Linked DNA regions of Sus scrofa. The protein of the gene in region 3 purifies or fractionates together with the protein of the main gene of each other region. This does not show direct contact. Links are inferred from orthologs where the notes say so. Each region holds a gene or a part of one and is shown on either strand. Other genes may lie near its edges.

Region 1 (5,352 bases), on a different chromosome or scaffold from region 3:
GTGGAGCGGGGAGGGAGGGAGGCGGTGGGGACCGGCAGGCGCAGGTGCGCAGGCCAGGGCCGCGCAGAGCGGGAAGGCGGGCTGGGGCAAGGGGTCTGCGGGGCGGCTGCGGGGTGTCCCGGGCGTGGCGCACGCGCGCAAAGCGCTGGCAGCAGCGCCCGGCCCGGCCCCGCGCTCTCCGAAGGCTCGCCTTTAAGATCGGGCTCCTTCCCGCCGCTGCGGCTGCCGCTGCCTGGGCGGCGGGCTGGGGCGCGGCCAGAGAACCCCACGCGCCGGAGCTCGGGGGAGGAGGGGGCTGCGAGGGGCTGCGGGGGACCGAGGGGAGCCCACGTGACTCAGGGAGGGCGCGCCACCCCACCCCCCGCAGGGGCCTTGGGGAAGGAAAGTCCCTTGTTTGGTTTGCCCGCTGGAGGCCAAGTGGTCCAGCGCCAGAGGCTGCTCAGCTTTCCCTCGCTGCAGTTTCCCGCAGGGTAGGCGGGAGATCACAGGGCTTGGGCTCATCCTCGCCGGCTTCGGGCCCAAAGACCCTTCCGGAGCCTGGGGGGTCGAGTCTAAACCGCCGGGGCTGGGGGATTCAGGGGGGCATTCCAACGGGTGGGGTGGGGCGGGGCGGGTGCGGCCCGAAGCCCCACCCTCGGTCCCGCCCCACGTTGCTCCCGCCCCTTAGCCCCGCCCCCGCCCGCATTTAAAGGGCTCGCTCTCTTCCAGGCGCAACCTCTGCTCTCTGCCTCACCCTGCGCTCGCTGAAGTGCCTGCGACTTTAATTAAAGGGCCGTCCCCTCGCCCAGGCTGCAGCACCGCCCCTCGGCTCCTCGCGCCTCAAAATGAGTAGCTCCCACTCCCGGGCGGGCCAGAGCGCTGCGGGCGCGGCTCCGGGCACCGGGGCCGACACGCGAGACGCTGAGATGCCGGCCACCGAGAAGGACCTGGCGGAGGATGCGCCGTGGAAGAAGATCCAGCAGAACACATTCACGCGTTGGTGCAACGAGCACCTCAAGTGCGTGAGCAAGCGCATCGCCAACCTGCAGACGGACCTGAGCGATGGGCTGCGGCTCATCGCGCTGCTCGAGGTGCTCAGCCAGAAGAAGATGCACCGCAAGCACAATCAGAGGCCCACCTTCCGCCAGATGCAGCTTGAGAACGTGTCGGTGGCGCTTGAGTTCCTGGACCGCGAGAGCATCAAGCTTGTGTCCATCGGTGAGGGCATGGGCAGCCCCGTGGCGCTGGGAGGGCGAGGGCGGGAAACTCCGCGCGTCCTCCCATCTCCCCCCGGCCGACCTCTCGCAGACACCCCCCCCCAAAGCTGGGCACTGCCCCAGGGGCCCCCGCGGCCGCCCACCTCCGTGCGGGCCTCGAGAACAAAGGCTCGCAGGCCGGCGGTGCTTGTGGACCGCTACGCGCCCCCGCCCGCCGGTCCGAGGCTGGCCCACGCCCAGACTGAGCTCACATCCTCCACAGGCCGCGCCCCCACCAGTGCACCCTCGGTGGGAGACGGCCTGGGGGGGCGGGCAGCGGCCAGGCTCTGGCCCTGCGCCCAATGCCCCATCTCAAACAAGGGAGAGGCCAGCGCTTTCCACCCCCTAGAGCAGTTTGGAGAGGGCCCTCTGCCTTCAGGGGGCCCTGTGATTCCCCTAAGCGGGAATTTGGAGTTTGTGGACTACCATTGTCTAGGGCCCCGCACTGAAGACGACTCCAAGCCCAAGTTTAGATCGCCTTTCAGGAACTAGGAGGCCAGAGAGGACCACGGCTAGCAAAACTGAGATGGGTTTGGGTGCTGGCCGGTTCAGGGAGCTGGCCTGTAGTCTAGTTGGGCATCCCGTTACTATCGACCTGGGGCCAGACCGTTGCTTCTATGCAGAGCTTGCTCTTCTGCATCTAGAAGGCAGGAGTTGGGTGTGAGGTAGTCCAGCATGTGCTGGGCTCGCCGCCAGCCCCGTGTCCGTGAGGCTGGCGAGGCTGCCACTGACCCGGCTACTGCATCCTCCCAGGCACTTGAGAGGGGAGCCCCTCGGGAACAGGCACCAGAACTGGTGACTTGGGGTAGATGTGCAAGGGCGAGGGAAGGGGCACAAGCTTTCCTCCGAATTGGAGGAGACCCTCCAGCTTTCCCCATTGCCCTGGGGCGGTCCTTGCTGAGCCTGAGAAAGTGAGGGGCCGACACTCAGGTGCCCCCTAGCACTCAGGGCAGGTCGCTAGGGCCCCACCTCTTTCTCTGGAATGCAGGTCCAGGCCGAGACCCACCCCCCAGTCCCAACCTCAGTCTAGCCAAGCTGAGTCATCTCTGAGCCTTGGGTGGGGGGGCAACCGGATGTGGGGAGGCGGGCCACACCCCAGTTGTCTGGGGGGGGTCTCCTCCTCCCCCCCTCCCTTCTTCTCCTCCTCTTGTGAGCTGGCTGGAGCAGGCCTAGTTCCCAGAGCTTTGCCATATAAGGCAAAAAAATGTTGGAAAGCAGCAGTGATTAGGGGAGGGAGGGGGCAGGCAGGCCCCGGGGGCTGGGGAAAGGGGGTGGGATGGGGCGGGGCCATCCGACCCGTCCGTCTCTCTACCCTGAGCCCCGTCCTTCGCTCCTTTTGTGAGGTGGATGGGGAGGGCCTAGGCAGCCTCCTAAGGACCAGGGGGAGGGCCCAGCCGGACCTTCCAGGGCTTGGCCTTGTGTGTCCCCTCGTGGGTGGTTGTGGGTCGAGGGCTCTTGTGCTGGACTCGGGACTCTGGGGGTGGGGGCCTGGGGGGAAAGGCCCACTCGCTCCTCTGCCCTCGGTCTCCTCTCAACCTTCAGTTCCCTCAGCCCGAACCCCCTCCCACCCTCCCGCCCGCCCGCCCTTTGGGGACAGTGCAAGGCAGTGGTGCAGGACCAGGACCAACCCCGGCCCAGGAACGGGGAGGCCACTCTGCTTTGAGTGGCGTTGAGCTGGTCCACGAGGTGCTGCTCCCTGGATTTGGAGGCGGCCTGCCATTGATGGCCCTTTTGGTGGCGTCCATCCCCTGCTCCCCACCCGGAGTTGACTCACTAGACAACTATTCTCTCCGATGGCTGGGGGAGGTGGAACACGCCGGCAGGGGTTCCAAAGACGAGTTGCCCTCTCCAGTTCTCAGAGCCCCACCCCCCTGCCCCCAGCCGCTTGAGGAGGCCGAGACCCAGAAGCGCCTTGGGTGGGGCCCGAGCCCGGAGGGGTTGCCATGGTGATGGGGTGCAGGGTGCCCGCCCTAACCACTTCCCCTGTGGTGAGCTTGGCGGCCACCAGCCTGCAGCCCAGTGACCCGTTAGGTGGCGGGGTGGCGAGGAGGGCGGGCAGCGGCTGAGCAGGCTCTGCTGAGGCAGCGAGACTCAGGGACCCCACCCATGACCTCTGCCACCCGGGCTCCCAAGCTGGGCCCTGAGCGCCCAGCCTAGGCTCACTGGCTCCGCCCACCCCCCTGGGCTGGGTGAGGGGGCCCCTGGAATGTGTCCTGCCCGTCATTCCTGGCTGGCAGGCCACCCCTGCAGGGCCCCAGTGAGTCAGGGCCATGCAGCCCAACCACTGGCTCCTTGGGGCTCCCAGCCCCTCCCCTGCACCAGGCCTGCTGCCCAACTCCCGCTGGCCTCCCCGCTGTGGAGGAGGGGAGGGCGCGAAGGAAGTGGGGGTGGGGTGGGGCTCACACCCTCCACCCAAAGGGGCCTTGCCCAACGCCTCCACTTCCCCAGCCTCACGCCACCCACCCGCCCACCCTGGGGTAGCAGTTCTGTTTCCCAACTGCCCACCCACCTGCCTTCCTCTTCCTCTGGGCCAGCTCAGGGCTCTGGCCTCGAGGTCCTGGGGCCCAGCTGCTCCTCCTGCGCCTCCCCTGGCGACCCCGGGAGGTGGACAGTGGGCCCCCGCTTGGGCAGCTGCGAAGTACGCAACCCGCGCGCTGTCCAGAGCTGCCTTTGAGGAGGGGGAGCCTCCCCAGGCCTCCCCTGGCCCTGTCTGCAGCCCAGCATTGTCCCCTGTCCTTCCTCTGGCTCCCCAGAGCCCCGGGGCTTCTGGCAGCACCCACTCATTGTGCCGCATTGTCACTATGTGGACACAAGGATGTGTTCCCTTCAAAGGAACCTGCGCAGAGAGGCTCTGCCCCCCCACACCACCCAGAGACTCCCCCTCCTGCCCGGGCTGCTGGGCCTGCGGGTGTGCTGCCCCCCAGCCCACGTGGCCATGTCCGTGTGCGCCCGTCGGCCGGCCTGCCCAGCTCTGCCGCTCCCTCCCCATGCAGACAGCAAGGCCATCGTGGACGGGAACCTCAAGCTGATCCTGGGCCTCATCTGGACGCTGATCCTGCACTACTCCATCTCCATGCCCATGTGGGATGAGGAGGAGGACGAGGAGGCCAAGAAACAGACCCCCAAGCAGAGGCTCCTGGGCTGGATCCAGAACAAGCTGCCGCAGCTGCCCATCACCAACTTCAGCCGGGACTGGCAGAGCGGCAGGGCCCTGGGCGCCCTTGTCGACAGCTGTGCTCCAGGTGCGCGGGGGCTAGGGGGCTGCCTGCGGGGCGGGGCGGGGCGGGGGGGGGGGGGAGGCGGGGTTGGTGCGCAGGGAGGTCCCGCGTGCCCGCGGACTCACGGCCTTCCTCACACCGCAGGCCTGTGTCCCGACTGGGACTCTTGGGATGCCAGCAAGCCGGTGAACAACGCGCGGGAAGCCATGCAGCAGGCCGACGACTGGCTGGGCATCCCTCAGGTACCGTGGGCCGCCTGGGGCTGAGGTGCTGCGTCCCTGGATCCTGGGACTCGCAGGCCAAACGGCTTCTTCTTCCACTCGTGACAGGTGATCACCCCTGAGGAGATCGTGGACCCCAACGTGGACGAGCACTCCGTGATGACCTACCTGTCGCAGTTCCCCAAGGCCAAGCTGAAACCAGGGGCTCCCCTGCGGCCCAAGCTAAATCCGAAGAAGGCCCGAGCCTACGGGCCAGGTGAGGGGGCCCGCCGGGGTGCTCCTGCTCAAAGACCTCCCCGGGGGGGCGGTCCTCTCTCTCGAGGTCTCGCGGCGGCTAGTGTGTCACACGCCCCCATGGGTCAGACGGGAGGGGGTCAGGACCGGTGGGAACCGGCCACCGGCTGGGACATTCCCCATGGCCCATCCGCCTGCGGCGGAGCGTGTTCCAGGAGGCAGGAGCACAGGCCCAGGCAAACTCAAGGGAGCATTCTAGAAAACAGGCCCAGGCCTGCCCCACGGCAGGCGTGTGGCGGGGGCTGAAGGCCAGGCTCTGTGCCCGGTTCCGTGGGCGCCCGCCCGGCGGGCTTGGGCAGGCTGGTGGGGGGCAGCGGCCCTAACCGGCAGCCCCTTCCTCCCTGGCCCCGGGCAGGCATCGAGCCGACGGGCAACATGGTGAAG
Region 2 (4,276 bases), on a different chromosome or scaffold from region 3:
GGCTATAAATCTAATGGAAGATGGTAAAAAAAATCTAGTCTAGACTTCATAATTATGATAAATGCACATAGTAGGGAATAGGTAGATGTTTTTGGTCCCTTGATTTAATGATCACTAATAGCTATATTAATAGTTATATTTATATGTGCATTCCTGTTGGTGGTGATTAATGTTTTGGCATTCCCAAAGCACTGGAATCAGGTTTAGCAAGTAGCACAACTCAGATTTTGTTTTTCATGTGGAAAGCACACATGTAAAATGTTCATGGATACAGATCCTTAACTACTTAGTTTATGTTATACTCATTTGCATACTTCCACAATTAAATATAATACAAAACTTCTTCTAGAAGCTAGAATTACAATAGCTTGAGCCCTTGAGGACCTGGAACTAAATAAAAACCTGGAGGCAAGTTTGAATGAAACCAAAACAGATGTGACTCAGGTCCTGAGCTTTACTATGAGAAGAGTTCCTCTCTCACTCAGATTGTAGTACTTTTTCTACATATGCAATTATTTTAGTTTTGATTATCTGGTATCATGACCAACAACATCATATTTAAGGAGGAAAGAGAGGACTGCTCTAAGAAGCTAACACATCAATCTAACCATAAATAATAGCTGACAGCCTCAAGGCAAAGGAACAAAAAATGGCAGAAGGCAAATGGGAAAAGTCAAAAGCAAGAACTGGAGTCATGGCCGACTCTGGTTAATTGTAGTAAACAATCACACCTCTGTGGCTCCAGGAAAGCACTGTGATAGCACAGTCCAAACACAACAGGCTTGTAGTGTAAACTGCATTGTTAAAAGACTCAATTACATTTGTAAGAAGATATGTGCTTTAGAAGTATTGCCATCAACGTGATAATAAATGATAATAAATACTTTATATATAAAAAGGGTTTATCTGTGAACAGTAGTAGTAGCAAACATGCAGCCCTGTGGTTTACATGTTGAATTTTATTTAATTTTCCCAGCACCCACCTGAGGCTGATGTAAATAAAGGAGCTCAGAAGTACTGTTTACTGATCTGAAACCTGTAATGAACACCTATTGTGTCTTTCTAGATCTGAATTCTATAAGCACATTGTGCTTTCTGGAGGATCTACTATGTACCCTGGGCTGCCATCACGTTTGGAACGAGAGCTTAAACAGCTTTACTTAGAACGAGTGTTGAAGGGAGATGTGGAAAAACTCTCTGTAAGTATCAAGTCAATAATCCAATTGTTAACGTACTTTTAAAACACTGTTAACATACTTTTTAACCACCAGAGGGAGCAAGAGGTCTTCCTAAACAAACTCCTAGTTCAGTCTGCCTGGAACAGGGAGGAAGTAGATAACCCTCAAGATGAACCTTTATTTTTGCTTTTTTAGGGCCACACCTGCAACATATCGAGGTTCCCAGGCTAGGAGTCTAATTGGAGCTACACCAGAGCCACAGCAACACCATATCCAAGCCGAGTCTGTGACCTACACCACAGCTCACAGCAACGCTGGATACTTAACCCTCTGAGCAAGGCCAGGGATCAAACCTACAACCCTATGGTTCCTAGCTGTATTTGTTTCTGCTGCGCCACAACGGGACCCCCCCAAGATGAGCTTTTCTCAGAGTGATCCTAGTGTTGAGTCACCTCTGTTTTCAGTGGATAGAGGCGATTAGGTTCAGGGCCAGATGTTGGTTCATCTGTAACAAAACAGCCTGGTGCAACCAAAGTGCCCTTAAATGCAGTGAGAAATGCCTCCGTTGGGTTTTATTTTTATTTCTTAACTTATTCTTTGACTATGTAATCAGCGTGCTGCTCTTGGACTGTCTCGTATTTCTGATTCTGTTATTTTCTGGCTGTTTCTTGCATATGTTTTATCTCCTCAGTCTGGTAGTATAACACCATGTCTCCAGTTCTTTTGCATCCCTGTCAACTGTTATAGCTCTTGAAACAGACTTTATTTATTTGGCCTCACCTGCAGCATGTGGAAGTTCCCCAGGGGCTGAACTCATGTCATGGCAGCAACCTGAGCCGCTGAAGTGACAATGCCAGATCCTTAACCTGCTACACCACAAGGGAACTCCCCTTGAAACAGACTTTAATTGGTAGTAGCTGATGTGTAGAGTAAGAAGGAAATTTTAAACTAGTATGCAGTAGTTAATGGTTATATGGCTTTTTTCCCCCTCTAAGCCTGGACTGTGTTAAGTACGGTATACATACTAAACACCAAGAGTCATTTAATTTTGAGTTAAACTCTGAGGTTCATCTCACCAACTTGGATCAGTTGTTTTAGATAATGAGATTATATCCCGCAGAGACACTATGTATATATTGGAGATACAAATGTTACAAATCTCATTTGTGACTCACATTGTTGAAATTAAAATGTCTAAGTACTTCACTCATTTTTCTGATTTTATTGAGTTATACATATAATTTAAAATCAGTCTCGAGTGATTATTTTTCCTTTTTACTGCTGCACCTGTGGTATATGGAGGTTCCCAGGCTAGGGGTCAAATCGGAGCTGCAGCTGCCAGCCTACACCACAGCTGCAGCGACTCCAGATCTGAGCCATATCTGCGAACTATGAACTACGCTGCAGCATGTGGCAACTCAGGATCCTTTAACCTACTGAGTGAGGCCAGGGATCGAACCCACATTCTCACAGAGCCAGTGTTGGGTCCTTAACCTGCTTAGCCACAATGGGAACTCCCCAGCAAATATTTCTTGAACTACTTTTGGGTGTCAAACACTTGTCTAGGTGCTGAGAGAAACAAAACAAAAATAAGTCCCCGTTTTTAGCCTGTGAATAATGTATTAGCAGTAATGAGCACTGTGAAGGAAAGTCAGGGTAGGAGCGAGAAGGTGGAGGTGATGGGTGAGATGGTCTGCTCCTTCGTGCAGTGTCATCAGGGAAGGACTCTGGTGGGACAAGGTAACTTCTGAGCACAGGCCTGAAGGGAGCAAGCGAGGGAGCAGCCCGACTCTGTGGGAGGAGAATCTTGCAGGCAGGAACAGCTCTGGTTGGGATGTGCAGGTGTGGCAGGAGCAGAGTGCGCAGGGAGGTGAGCTCAGAACGGCTGTCAGGACGCAGGTCTGGCTCAGCTGTGGGAAAGAATTTGGCTTAGCTCTTAGCGAGAGAGAAAGTCTCAGGAGAGTCCTGAGCAGAGACATGGTAGGATCTGACTTGTTTAAGGGCTCGTTAAGGGTTGTGTGGTGAGAGGATTGTTGAGGGAGGTGGAGGTAGCAAGATGGGTTGGGAGGGGGAGGAGGCGGCCAGGGTTTATCACGTATAGGGGGAGGCTTGAGATGGTTTCCGGGAGAGTGGAAGAGAGAAGTGTTGAGGGATTGCAGTGCCCAGGGGCTCAGTCGTGGTGAGGGTCCTTCTCAAGCTAGCTGTTGAGTTCCTCTCACACCGTGTTCAGTTGCTGGAGAGCAGGGGCAGAGCAGAGTGGCACCCAGCTGTGTATCCTGCCGAGTGAGGGGGAGAAGAACAAGGTCACTAAGGATGACATCAGGACAGGGTGGAGAGAGCGTATCGTGCCCACGCCCAGCAGAGCAGGTGTGAGAAGAAATGACCTGGGCAAAGAGGGCTGATGGGTGGCATGGTCCGATGGCGATGAGTTTCTGAACAGCGTGGCGTTGCAGGGAGGAGGGAGAGAGCAACAGCCGTGAGGAAAAGGAGTTGCTGTTGCCTGGCCTCTGGGTTAGGAAGGTAGTGAGAGAGAACCAGCAGCCAGGTGAGGGGGCTGCGGGCCAGCACTGTCCTCAGGGGCTAGCCAGGTCTCTTGGAACACAGCCGGGCTCATTCTCTTACTTACACAGTGTTACCTGTTGTCACATGTTGTCTGTTTAGGTACTGCCAGAGAGCCCCACAGAGCCTTGAGTATTTACTCTCTGGTTCCTTGCAGGAAATGTTTGCTGACCCCTCCCTGCCGAAGGGTAAAAAAGTAACTAGAACAGTTAAGACAGTAGGTTAGCCTCAGAATGAATTAATAAGCCAACTGGTGTTTTTCTGTGTCACATATGAGAGATCTGATGCTTCGTTTATGTGATGTAAAGACAATTTAAGACCAGCATAGTTATTTTGAGTCTTTTTGGAGGATTTGTATCTTTGTAAATAAAACTGCTACTTCATTTTAAGATTTCTCTTTCAGGTGTTGACTGACCATACAGATGAAGGGCCGTCCTTGTTGGACACTTAATAGTGGCTACAGAATATAAACATTTTCCCACTTGTCTTTAATTTTGGTGACTGTGTTCATTTTTTCCAACATCCCCCATGATTTACTT
Region 3 (4,948 bases):
ACGCCTGGACCAGGAACCACGCTACAGGGGCTGGAAGTTCGAAGAGGATGAACGGGACCTTGGGGGGCCCACAAAATCCTCAGCAGCTGCGAGGGGAGACGTGGGGCCCTAGCAGTGGAGAACGTGGTTGGCACCAGTGGGCCAGGTGACAGTGGTGACCACCACGGCGGAGGACAGACGGAGGACAGACAGCCACAGACGCTGCCAGGATGCAGGGCCTTGGCCGGGCCGCCAAGGGTCACCCCAGAAGGAAAAGCGCCAAGGGCCTGAGGGGCAGGGGGCTGCTGGGGGGCTGCTGGGGGGCTGCTCCGGGTGGGATGGGAGGGCACTGGGGCCAGGCCCAGACAGGACCAGGACCAGAGAGTTCTGGGTACAGCTGGTAAACGTGAGGGCCTCTGCAGGTGTGGCGGTCTCAACAGTGACTCTGCACTCTTGGAGGAAACCGCTTCTGTAGCAGTGTCCCGGTTTGGGCTTTTTAGGGGGACGGGGCACCCTGCAGCTCTCAGGCGATTCAGGGAGGGAAAGCCAGGAACTCTCTGCACTGCATTTACTCTTTCAAGTAACTTGGAAAATGCAGCGAAATCCCCATTTCTAAAACGGTGAGGGAGGCTTGGAGGGACGGCGGCGGCCCTCCCGCGTGGGGCCCGGGCCCCTTTCTCACCAGCCTGGTAGTCGTACAGGGCGATGGCCGTGATTCCAAGGTCGTTCTCGTACTCGTCATAGGCACCTTCCTCTGCAACACAGAGGACCCCGTGAGGGCCCGGGCCCCCTCCGCTGACGACCTTCCCGAGGCTGCGAGGCTGCGAGGCTGCAGCGGAGGCCAGGCGGGAGGGCGCTTTCCTGGGGCGGCCAGGCCCCACCCGCCAGGAGGACGGGCTTCAAGGGCCTGGCTCCCGGCTCCAGCCCACCTGGCGAGGGCCAAGGACTCTGACAGGTCCCAGGACACTTTCAGAAGGTAACTTTTTACGTTTTAAATACTTCGCACTAATTTTAAGAACGGTCACATCCGAGTTAGGGGAATGGCAAGTGGGAGACGGCCGAGCCCGCCTCACAGCGCGCTGGGGGAGGCAAGAGCTCTGCCCTGTGTCGACTCTGGGACGAGGCGCCTGTCCCTCCCAGGCGGAGAAGGCCTGGGTTAGGCCCATCCGGGGACATTCCCGGACGCCTCATCTTTACAAGGAAGAGCTGGACCTCGGCGTTCAGCCCCCTGGGAAGACGTCCGAGGCCTCACGCTGCTCTGGCTCCTGCCAGCGTCCAGAGACCGACTGGGACCAGAGGGCAGCAGGAACCCCCTCCCTCAGGCCCGCCCTGCTCAGAGGCCCCCACACACTCAGGGGTCTTCCTGGAACCCCGACTCCCGAGGCTGGGCCCGTCCAGAAGGAGAGGAGGCCGGAGGGCACGGCTGGCGGGGGGCAGCAGGGGAAGAGGCGACTTTCAGAGAACGGGGGCAGAGGGGACAAGGCAGGGGCCGCACCTGCTGGGTAGTGGCCCGGGGCCTCCGTGCTCTCGTAGACGGCCTCCGGCGCGCAGGCCTCTCGGTAGCCGGCAGCCTCCACGCTGTACACCGGCTCAGGCTCGTGTGTGCTCTCGGGGGCCCTGTAGCTCGGCTCGGCCTGGAGGGGAGCCGCGTCCTGTGAAGGGTCAGGGAGACAGTTCTCGCGGCCCGGACAGGGTCCCTGAGCCACACAGCCGCGCTGCAGTCCCAGCTGAGACGAACTGAGGACGCCTGGGTCCCAACCATGGTACAGCGGCAGCGGCGAGAGGACCAGGGCCCAGCCCCTCCCCCACAGTCCTGTTCTCGCACCTGGACACCCCTGTCCTACTGCCACCGGAGACCCGTCGGGCGCCCACCTGCCGGCACCGCCAGCCGTCAGGGCTGCTTTTTCCAGGGGCGGGTTCGCCCTGTTGCCTTGCCAGGCCCCAGACCTCCGAGGCCACCCAATCCCCCAGGGCACCTCTGAGGGCAGCTCCACAGCGTCTCCCCATCCCACGGCCAGAGCAGCCAAGCCCGGGGGGCGGGGGGGCCGTTCGCGCCAGGCCCTCTGTGGAGGGGAGGCGAGGGAGTGACCACCGAGTCACACGCAGGAGGACACCAACAGCGCTCTGCTGACACCCCCGAGCTGCAACCAAACTCCCCGAGCCCTGACACCAGCCGCGGTTTGAGGGTCTCCGTGTCCACGGGGCGCTGACCCGGGCAGTCAGACTCACCTACAAACTGAGCAGAAGCACCCACCTCGTAGACGGGGCTCGACGGCGGCCTCTCCGGAGCGGGCTGAGGCGTGGGGGACGCGGGCGGCGTGGGCTTCTGGGCCCGGGCCTGCTCCTACGGTTCAGAGACGGGGGTGGTCAGCGGGGAGCCGGCCGCGCCACGTCACCGGCAGCAGCACCTTGGGAGTCCGCAGAGAGGGGACACTGCAGACGTCGGGGCGGGTCTGCTCTGCAGCACGGGTCCCCGTGAGTCCTCCCAACAGACCCCCGGGCCCGCGCCCCCCCGCCGCCCCTCACGACCCCGGGGCTGCTGGGACCCAAGCCAGAGGCAGCAGGCGGCCGGTCACCCACACGTGCCCCAGGGGCCCACGTCTGCCTCGGACGCGGAAACACAGGGAGTGGTCTCTGCACGTCACATGGACGCGACCTCCAGACACAGGGAACGGGCCGTGGGGGAGATGCTGAGGTCCTGACCCCAGGCCTGCGAATACGGAGCCTTCCAGGCACGAGGCTGCACCGGTGGCCAGGCAAGGACCTGAGCTGCGGGGTGGCCTTGGCGTGTCCTTACAAGAGGGGGCAGAGGGAAAGCAGAGGTCGTGGGGGTTAGGAAGCACCAGAGGCAGGGACACGCTCCTCGGGAGCCGCCAGCAGGAGCCAGCGCCGTGCCGCCTAGGACTGCTAACGTCCAGACGGTGCGCTGACAAACGGGGCCCAGCCCCTGCACGGTGGGAACACGGCGCAGCGGCCCCGGGAAGCCAGTGCTACAACCGAAAGGCTGGATTTCCTCCCCGCCACAGATAAGGACCTGAGGCTCCAGGGAGGTGGGTGGCTCTTGGGGGTGGGGGGGGGGTGGGGCAGGAGCTACACCTGCTCCGCCAGCCTGCCTCTCCTACAGGGGACGGCACCACTGTCGTGTGTCCTGAGACCCGCACAGCTCTCGGCACCAGAGCAGCTCTGCATGGCCTGCAGAGGGCGGTCACGAGGCCCCACAGCGCCTGGAACAGCGCTAAGTACCCATGTCTCCTTGAAGCGGCCACGCTTGGGCTGGGCTAAGCATGGGCTCCCGGAGTCCCAGGCCTGTGGCCACACTGCAGTGGCACAAGGTTCTGTGACAGCCACTCCCGACCCGGCCGGGAACAGAGACACCCGTGGGCTCTCGAGCTCTCAAGAGTTGAGAGCCGAGCATCGTGAACCCCGCCTGCCCAGGGGAGTAAGTACTCAGACGCCAGCGCCCCCCACACTGCAGGGCTCAGGTGGACAGGGAGAGGGCAACCCGGCCAAAGGGACTGCAAGGGAACCTGTGAAGCCAAGAGGCTGGATACAGCGACCCAAAGCCACTTTCTTCCCAAGCCTTCCACTCCTTCTGCATCGTTCAGGTCTCGGGGGTTAAACTCCAAGTCACAAAACGAGAAACAGACGCCTCACAGCGTGATTACGACGAAGGGAAACCACAACGTCCCAGCAATTCAGGAACGGCACGTGGTCATCACGCAGGCCTCTGTCACTGCGACCTCACGCACACGCCAGCACGCGGATCGGCTCATTTAACCCGGTCCCCAGAGCCCGGCGTTTCCTGCCCACGCGTTTCTTTCCTCAACCACCGTTCTCGCTGGACCGGGTTCCCAGGGCCCTCACTGCAACCCAGGAGGGGGTGTCCACGGTGGAAGGAAAGCCTCGCGGTCTGTGATACATCACGCACGTCGCTTCAGCTTCTACCTACGCCCCCAGTGTCGAGGGGCTTCCACAAGCAGCTCAGAGCCGAGCCCAGGTCGCCCAGAGCAGGTGACAAGGTGGGACCAGAGCCATTAGGCCTCAGTCCCTCCAGAAAAGCTGGGGAAGGCGAGTCCACACCCTCCTGCTCACTCGTCACGGCTCCCGTCTCCACCCTCCCTCGTGGGAAAACAGGATGAAGGTCCCAGGCCGCCCCACAGCCCCAGGCTCCAGGAGCAGGTGCCACGCGGGCAGGCGCACTGCGTTCATGGGGAACCCCTGTGAGCCCAGCCGCCCCCCAGAGAGTGGGTTCCTGGGGTGCGACGAGCGCAGAGGCTGCGGGACTGAGGACAGGCTGGTGGGCGCCGCAGCACTGGGTCAGCAGGGGCAGGACTGGGGCAGGTCAGTGGACGAGCGTCTGGGGACAATTTAGGTCCCTGAGAGCAGAGCGTTCGGGGCGAGCCCAGTGCCATCCCCAAAACCTCTCTGGATCGCAGATAGGGAGCGAGGCAAGCCCGCAGCCCGAGGTCCTGGGCCCTCTGGCCACGCTGACTCACCTCCAGCTGCCGCCGGGCTTCTTCCTGCTCCTGCCTCTCCTTCGCCATCCTCTGCGCCCGCTCCGCCTCCGCCTTCCGCCGGTCCTCCTGCTCCTTCTCCTTGGCCAGGTTTTCAAAGTTGGCTCTGATGTTGCTCGTTTTGCTGTTCACTACAGAGGAAGGAGAGGTGCCCTCAGCACCGCCTGCAGTGTGGGGTGTCCAGGTCAGCGCCGCGGGGGAGGGACAGTTGGCAGCGGGTGGGCTGGGAGCGGATGGAGGGTTCGAGGGGTGAGGGTCTGTGCGTTTGCCACACAGCAGGTGAGGGCGCCTCTGCTGGAGGCGCCACACGTGGCAGGACTCGCAGCACAGCCCTGCGTGGGGAACGCCGGGGGGCTCCAGCCATGGCTGTGCCCTTTCCCACCAGAGCCTCGCCAGGAGAACCCCGAGGACGCCCTTGGTAAGACAGGAACAAGCCCAGACGTTTAGAACACCTC
Region 4 (5,352 bases), on a different chromosome or scaffold from region 3:
TCTTCCTCTTTCAGTGGAAACCTAGACAAGCAGACAGCGCTGGGGAATACAGCTCTGCACTACTGTAGTATGTACGGCAAACCTGAGTGCTTGAAGCTGCTTCTCCGGAGCAAGCCCACTGTGGACGTGGGTAAGTGGGGCTGAGGTCTGTGAATAACCGCAGTGAGCATGTTTGATTGGCTGCAACTGAGACACGCCTGTTCCACTGCAATGTGAGTCTTGTTCTTTGGCTGTTCAAGATGTGTCTTAGCTAATCATGCGAATGTATTCCTCTCATTTTAGTTAACCAGGCTGGAGAGACTGCCCTGGACATAGCAAAGAGACTGAAAGCCACCCAGTGCGAGGATCTGGTAAGCAGCGTGGGAGTGAGAGGGGGCTTAGACCACCTGCCTTAAAACAGCCTTCTCGAAACCACAACTGGAAATGAAAGAAGCAGGGTTTTTTTTTTTTGGTTTTTTTTTTAATGCCTGCACCCGCAATATATGGAAGTTCCTGGGCCAAGGATTGAATCCCAGCCACGGCTGCCACCTGCACCACAGCTGTGGCAATGCTGGATCCTTTAACCCACAGCTCCTGGCTGGGAATCGAACCCACACTGCCACAGTTGGGTTCTTAACCCACTTTGCCGCAGCGGGAACTCTTTTTTTTTTTTTTTTTTTAACATTGGCTAAAGAAATCCAGACAAGCACTAAGACTATATTTGGAAAAAAATAGTACGGTGATAACATTTGTCGTCTACATGTCTTTTGAGTCGAGTTAGAGTGTTGCAGCTGAAAGACATTTGGGAGTTCTCAGACCAGACGGATTGGTGGATTGAGGTCCTGCTTTTTATTTGCTAGACCATTAGTCTGTAGCTTAACAGTAAAGAATTGTTGGAGGAGCCAGTTCCAAAAATAGGGCAGGTATAGGTGAGGGTGTCGTGGTTTTCTGAATGTCCCCCTCCCCATCCTTATCTACCACTCACCTCCCGACCCCGCTTGGCCTTGCTTGTAACTGCATGGAGCACGGTTCTCTGATCCGCTGGAAACAGGGCAATGGGAAAGATAAGTCGCGTTCCCTGGGGATTCTGCCGAGGGCCCGGGCCAGGCACAGCCGTGGTCCCCCTTTATTCTTAGAAGAACCCTTTGAGGAAGTGGGCCTTCTCCCTGCCCCGTTTTAAGACTAAGAAAGTGGGCCACATGTTGAACTGGGATTGTCATTAAAGGCCTGTCTCTCATGCTTCACTTACTCTGATTTTTCCTTCCAGCCAGGAATTTGCCTTTTTAAGAATCTTGGGGGGCGGGGGGTGGCTTTTCTTTTTTTTTTCTTTTTTTTTTTAGGGCCGCACCAGCGTCATAGGGAGCTTCCCAGCCTAGGGGTTAAAACGGAGCTGCAGCTGTTGGCCCACCCCACAGCCACAGCAGTGGGAGACCCAAGCGAGCCTGCAACCCACACCACAGCTCACAGCGATGCCAGATCCTTAACCCACTGAGCAAGGCCAGGGATCGAACCCATGTCCTCCTGGACTCGTCACATTTGTTACCGCTGAGCCAGGACAGGAACTCCTGAGGCTCGTTTTAATATTAGCAAGAAAGCTTTGAATTTTGGAGAGACGTCAAGTTATCAAAGTTAAAAAGGCTCCACCTATCATTTTTGCAGTTCCTCTTACGTCTGTCCAGCAGCAATCCCACTTGTATAATCAACGTTTTGCCCACACTACAGCTACTGGTGATGACTCTGAAGCCAGGCGTAAGGTGGGATTTGCCGTTTGTGTACTATCAAGGTCTGACATTTAAATTAAACTAGTTACGTCTGCTCGTACTTTCAGCTTTCCCAGGCTAAATCTGGAAAGTTCAATCCACACGTGCACGTAGAGTATGAGTGGAATCTCCGACAGGAGGAGATGGACGAAAGCGACGATGATCTGGACGACAAGGTGAGTGTCAGTGACGCCTCTGAGCCCCTAAACGCTTCTTCCTGTGCCTACACCCAGCAGATGAGATCCTTTCCTTCTGAGACGGGTTTTGGTCCCAGGGCCTGATTCACCAGGGCCGTTTTCCTTGTTTTCGATGCTTACTAGGCGCCCCTTAGTAGCCCTCGAATCGGGCAGGGTTCTCCAGAGAAATCAACCAGTCGGGGTGGGGGGGTGTGTGTAGAGACTCAGAAATCTGCTTTCAGGAATCGGCCCCTGTGATGACGGGACCGGCAAGTCCAAAATACACAGAGCAGGCCAGCCGGCTGGAGATTCCGGCAGGAGTTGAGGGTGCAGTCCTGAGCGTGGGAACAGAATGCCGCCTTCTTTCTGCGGCCGGGGTGGGGGCGGGGGGCCTCAGTCTTTTGAGCCCATCAACGAAGTAAATGAGGCCCACCAGTTTTACTCGAAATCTAAGCTAAATGGTCATCACATCTAAGAAATACCTTCACAGCAACATCTAGACTCGTGTTTGACCAAACGCTTGTGCAGCATAGCCTAGCCCCGTCGACATATAAAATTACCCTTCAAAAATCTAGTAAATGAAAAGTTGTCACTGATTATTTGAATATGGACTAGGCGACAGTCAGCCCGTGTGTTACCTCAGATCATCTTTACCCAAAGCCCACTGGGGTGTTGCTTATTGCCCCCCCCGCCGCCCCCCCACAGAGGAGAAAACTGACACACAGGGAATTTTTACTGTTTATCTAACGTCTCATAGCGAGTAAAGACGATCTTGGGTGTCAATCCCAGTTCCATGTGACTCTGTCACAGCTCATGCTTATTTACCTCCAAGGGTTCATGCAGGCATTTTTGCATCAGCTGGTGAGCACCTGCACAAGGTATGTGCCAAGGGCCATTGCCGAGCTCTCTGCAGGACCTGGTGGCTCTCGATGCCACTGAGGGTTCCAGCTGGGAAGTTGCATGGGTGCTGATGCCGTCAGGAGCACACTCCAGCAGTCCCTTGTCAGTGGTTGATGGTGTTCAGAGTCCACGAGGTTGGGTGGGACCCTCGGGTCTGAGTCATCAGCCTTAGGTCTCCGTCACCACCCCGGGCGTGGGGGAGCTTCCTGCCCAAGAGGATGTGAAATGAGGAGAGAGCCGAGGAGAGAACTTCGGCATCAAAGAGGCAGAAGAGTGAACGCACCCGAGTGCTCAGATGCTGGTGAACGTGCCCTGCCCAGAGGCAGTGTTTGCAGATCAAAGGTTAAATCTGTGACCTGATGCTTCTGAATACTGGGACCCCAAGCAGCAGGTCCCTGGCAGGGCCCTGGCAGTGTCAGGAGAACCCAAAGGGTGGGTCCTCTCTGGATGTTTCCCCTGCACTGTGTGGTGGCTCTCAGGCTTTTGCGTGCGGAGGGCCCCGGGGACCCAGATTCCCACCTAAGCCTGCCCCGCGGAGTCCTCCGCACCCCGGCAGGGTGTGGTCAGCTCACCCACCGCACGGTTCCTTTCCTTTGCCAGCCGAGCCCCATCAAGAAGGAGCGCTCGCCCAGACCTCAGAGCTTCTGCCACTCCTCCAGCATCTCGCCCCAGGACAAGCTGTCGCTGCCGGGGTTCAGCACTCCACGGGACAAACAGCGGCTCTCCTACGGCGCCTTCACCAACCAGATCTTCGTCTCCACAAGCACAGACTCGCCCACATCACCGACCACAGAGGCGCCCCCGCTGCCTCCTAGAAACTCCGGGAAAGGTACGAGCCTTGAGAAGGCCTTTCGACTCCATCCTCAGAGCTGAGAGCTGACCCGGGTACATTGGAGTGGCAGGTGGGATGTGACCTCAGGGACAGCTTGAAATAGGGACCTTGCCATTTGCCAGGTTACAGCTGAGGAAGGGGTGTCACGGGCACTGCTCGCACCTTGTCTCTTGAGAACCTCAAGCGATCCAGTGCGGTATTTGCTTTGTGCCCATTGTATAGATGAGGAAACTGAGGTAGAGGGACCTCTACCCAAGGTCATGCAGCTGGTAAGTGGTGGAGTTGAGATTCAGTCCAGGGTCCACATGGCTTCCAAACCAGTGCCTTTTCCTGTGTACTGTGAAATAGAACTTCACTTCTTCTTTGCAGACTTCCTTTACTCTAAAATGTCTGTCTTCTGAAGCCGCGAGTAGTGACAGTGGTGTTGGTAGTTAGGAAGCTCTTGCTTTATGAGAGGCCCTGAGCCTGCCTGCGTTTTTCCACTCAGAGTGAGGTACGTAGTTCACTTGCTAGCACCCTGAGACAGGGGCCGAGGTTCAGAGGGGTCCAGGGGCAGGCCTGAGGGTCTCAGGTGTTTGGGATCTCGCCCAGGCCTATGTGAGCTGAGCCCGCAGTCCTGTGGTTTTTCATGGTGAGTGGTTTTTCATGAGGGATCCACCCCCCACCCCCCAGGGCTGGATCGTATCCAGCACCCTCATGGGGGGACCCCGTGAGGGGGGGGCTACTGATTCTGCAGCCACGAAGCACCTGGGCTGCCCCGATTCCACAGGGGCCCTGCCCCGAGTGTCCATGTCCCCGCGCAGGAGGAATTGCGCGGCACCCAGAGCTGCAGCCCCCACGCGCGGGGTCCTCCCTGTGGCCTCGGCTCCTGCTAAGGCAGGTTGGAGGGCCCAGGGCACAATGCCGCGCCTATTTGGATCACAGTGGGGCTATTTTCTGGGAAATGTGAGCTTTATTCAAAACAGTGTTTTTTCAGAGCTTATTCTCCATTGAAATGGGCTTATAAATGGGAGCTGTGTTCTTAGAGAGACCCCAAACGGCCTCAGAGATGATAACGGAGAATGTGAAAATAAGGCTTGGGCGTGAACGGTACTCCTCGGCGATGACCAGTGACCGGAACAGCCATGGCACACGGAAGCCAAAGGCTTCACCTGCCAGCCTTGCTTCCCCATTTCATGCCACAGGTTAGGCTAGAAGGTACCTTCTAAATCGCTGGCCTATCACCGTGCAGATCTGGGCTCGCCTCTGGGAAGTGATATTCCCCATCACGCAGCAATCTGCAGAGGTCCCTTTCTGCACCCGAGAGAGGACCAGGAGAAAATTCTAGACCCATAAAATTATCAAAAAGTATCTCCAGAGGGGTCCACGTCCCTTAATTGTGTTGCCAAAAACTGGTGATGACCTGTCTAGGCAGCCAAGCCGGGCCTGTTCACACAGCCCCTGGGTCATTGAGAATCTTGGGGAAAGTCCACAGGAGAAAATGACGCAAGGCCTAGGGGCCAGGAGCCCCCCACCTCCTTGTACCCCTTTTTGTAGTTTTATCTGGAAGGGACACAGAAACCCACAAAGTAAACTGACTCAACGCCAAGTATTTCTCTCTCTTGCCTTGAATAGATTCTAATTAGTTCTAGAAGACAAAGATCAAATTTATTTAGTGATCCAGCTGCTGAAACAAGTGCTTGGAGACTTGGCCACAGCAACCATG

What was found. Proteins that work in one complex are often made in the same cells at the same time.
Region 1: the proteins of CTTN (region 3) and FLNA purify together in Homo sapiens (affinity purification with mass spectrometry; 3 studies listed by BioGRID and IntAct, with this or other methods). This does not show direct contact. The link is inferred for Sus scrofa from reciprocal best matches to the Homo sapiens genes CTTN and FLNA.
Region 2: the proteins of CTTN (region 3) and ACTR2 purify together in Homo sapiens (affinity purification with mass spectrometry; 3 studies listed by BioGRID and IntAct, with this or other methods). This does not show direct contact. The link is inferred for Sus scrofa from reciprocal best matches to the Homo sapiens genes CTTN and ACTR2.
Region 4: the proteins of CTTN (region 3) and ASAP1 purify together in Homo sapiens (affinity purification with western blotting; 6 studies listed by BioGRID and IntAct, with this or other methods). This does not show direct contact. The link is inferred for Sus scrofa from reciprocal best matches to the Homo sapiens genes CTTN and ASAP1.

The regions. Positions count from the first base shown.
Region 1 is NC_010461.5:124,892,528-124,897,879, forward strand, and holds part of FLNA (filamin-A), read left to right. Parts: intron 1-395; exon of another isoform or gene 396-470; intron 471-708; 5' UTR 709-824; coding exon 825-1,197; intron 1,198-4,228; coding exon 4,229-4,477; intron 4,478-4,597; coding exon 4,598-4,695; intron 4,696-4,782; coding exon 4,783-4,930; intron 4,931-5,323; coding exon 5,324-5,352. UniProt on the Homo sapiens protein: Promotes orthogonal branching of actin filaments and links actin filaments to membrane glycoproteins. Anchors various transmembrane proteins to the actin cytoskeleton and serves as a scaffold for a wide range of cytoplasmic signaling proteins.
Region 2 is NC_010445.4:76,694,446-76,698,721, reverse strand, and holds part of ACTR2 (actin-related protein 2), read left to right. Parts: intron 1-1,066; coding exon 1,067-1,199; intron 1,200-4,276. UniProt on the Homo sapiens protein: ATP-binding component of the Arp2/3 complex, a multiprotein complex that mediates actin polymerization upon stimulation by nucleation-promoting factor (NPF).
Region 3 is NC_010444.4:3,032,688-3,037,635, forward strand, and holds part of CTTN (src substrate cortactin), read right to left. Parts: intron 4,625-4,948; coding exon 4,476-4,624; intron 2,324-4,475; coding exon 2,234-2,323; intron 1,632-2,233; coding exon 1,475-1,631; intron 734-1,474; coding exon 662-733; intron 1-661.
Region 4 is NC_010446.5:10,417,736-10,423,087, forward strand, and holds part of ASAP1 (arf-GAP with SH3 domain, ANK repeat and PH domain-containing protein 1), read left to right. Parts: intron 1-14; coding exon 15-130; intron 131-282; coding exon 283-350; intron 351-1,807; coding exon 1,808-1,915; intron 1,916-3,415; coding exon 3,416-3,644; intron 3,645-5,352. UniProt on the Homo sapiens protein: Possesses phosphatidylinositol 4,5-bisphosphate-dependent GTPase-activating protein activity for ARF1 (ADP ribosylation factor 1) and ARF5 and a lesser activity towards ARF6.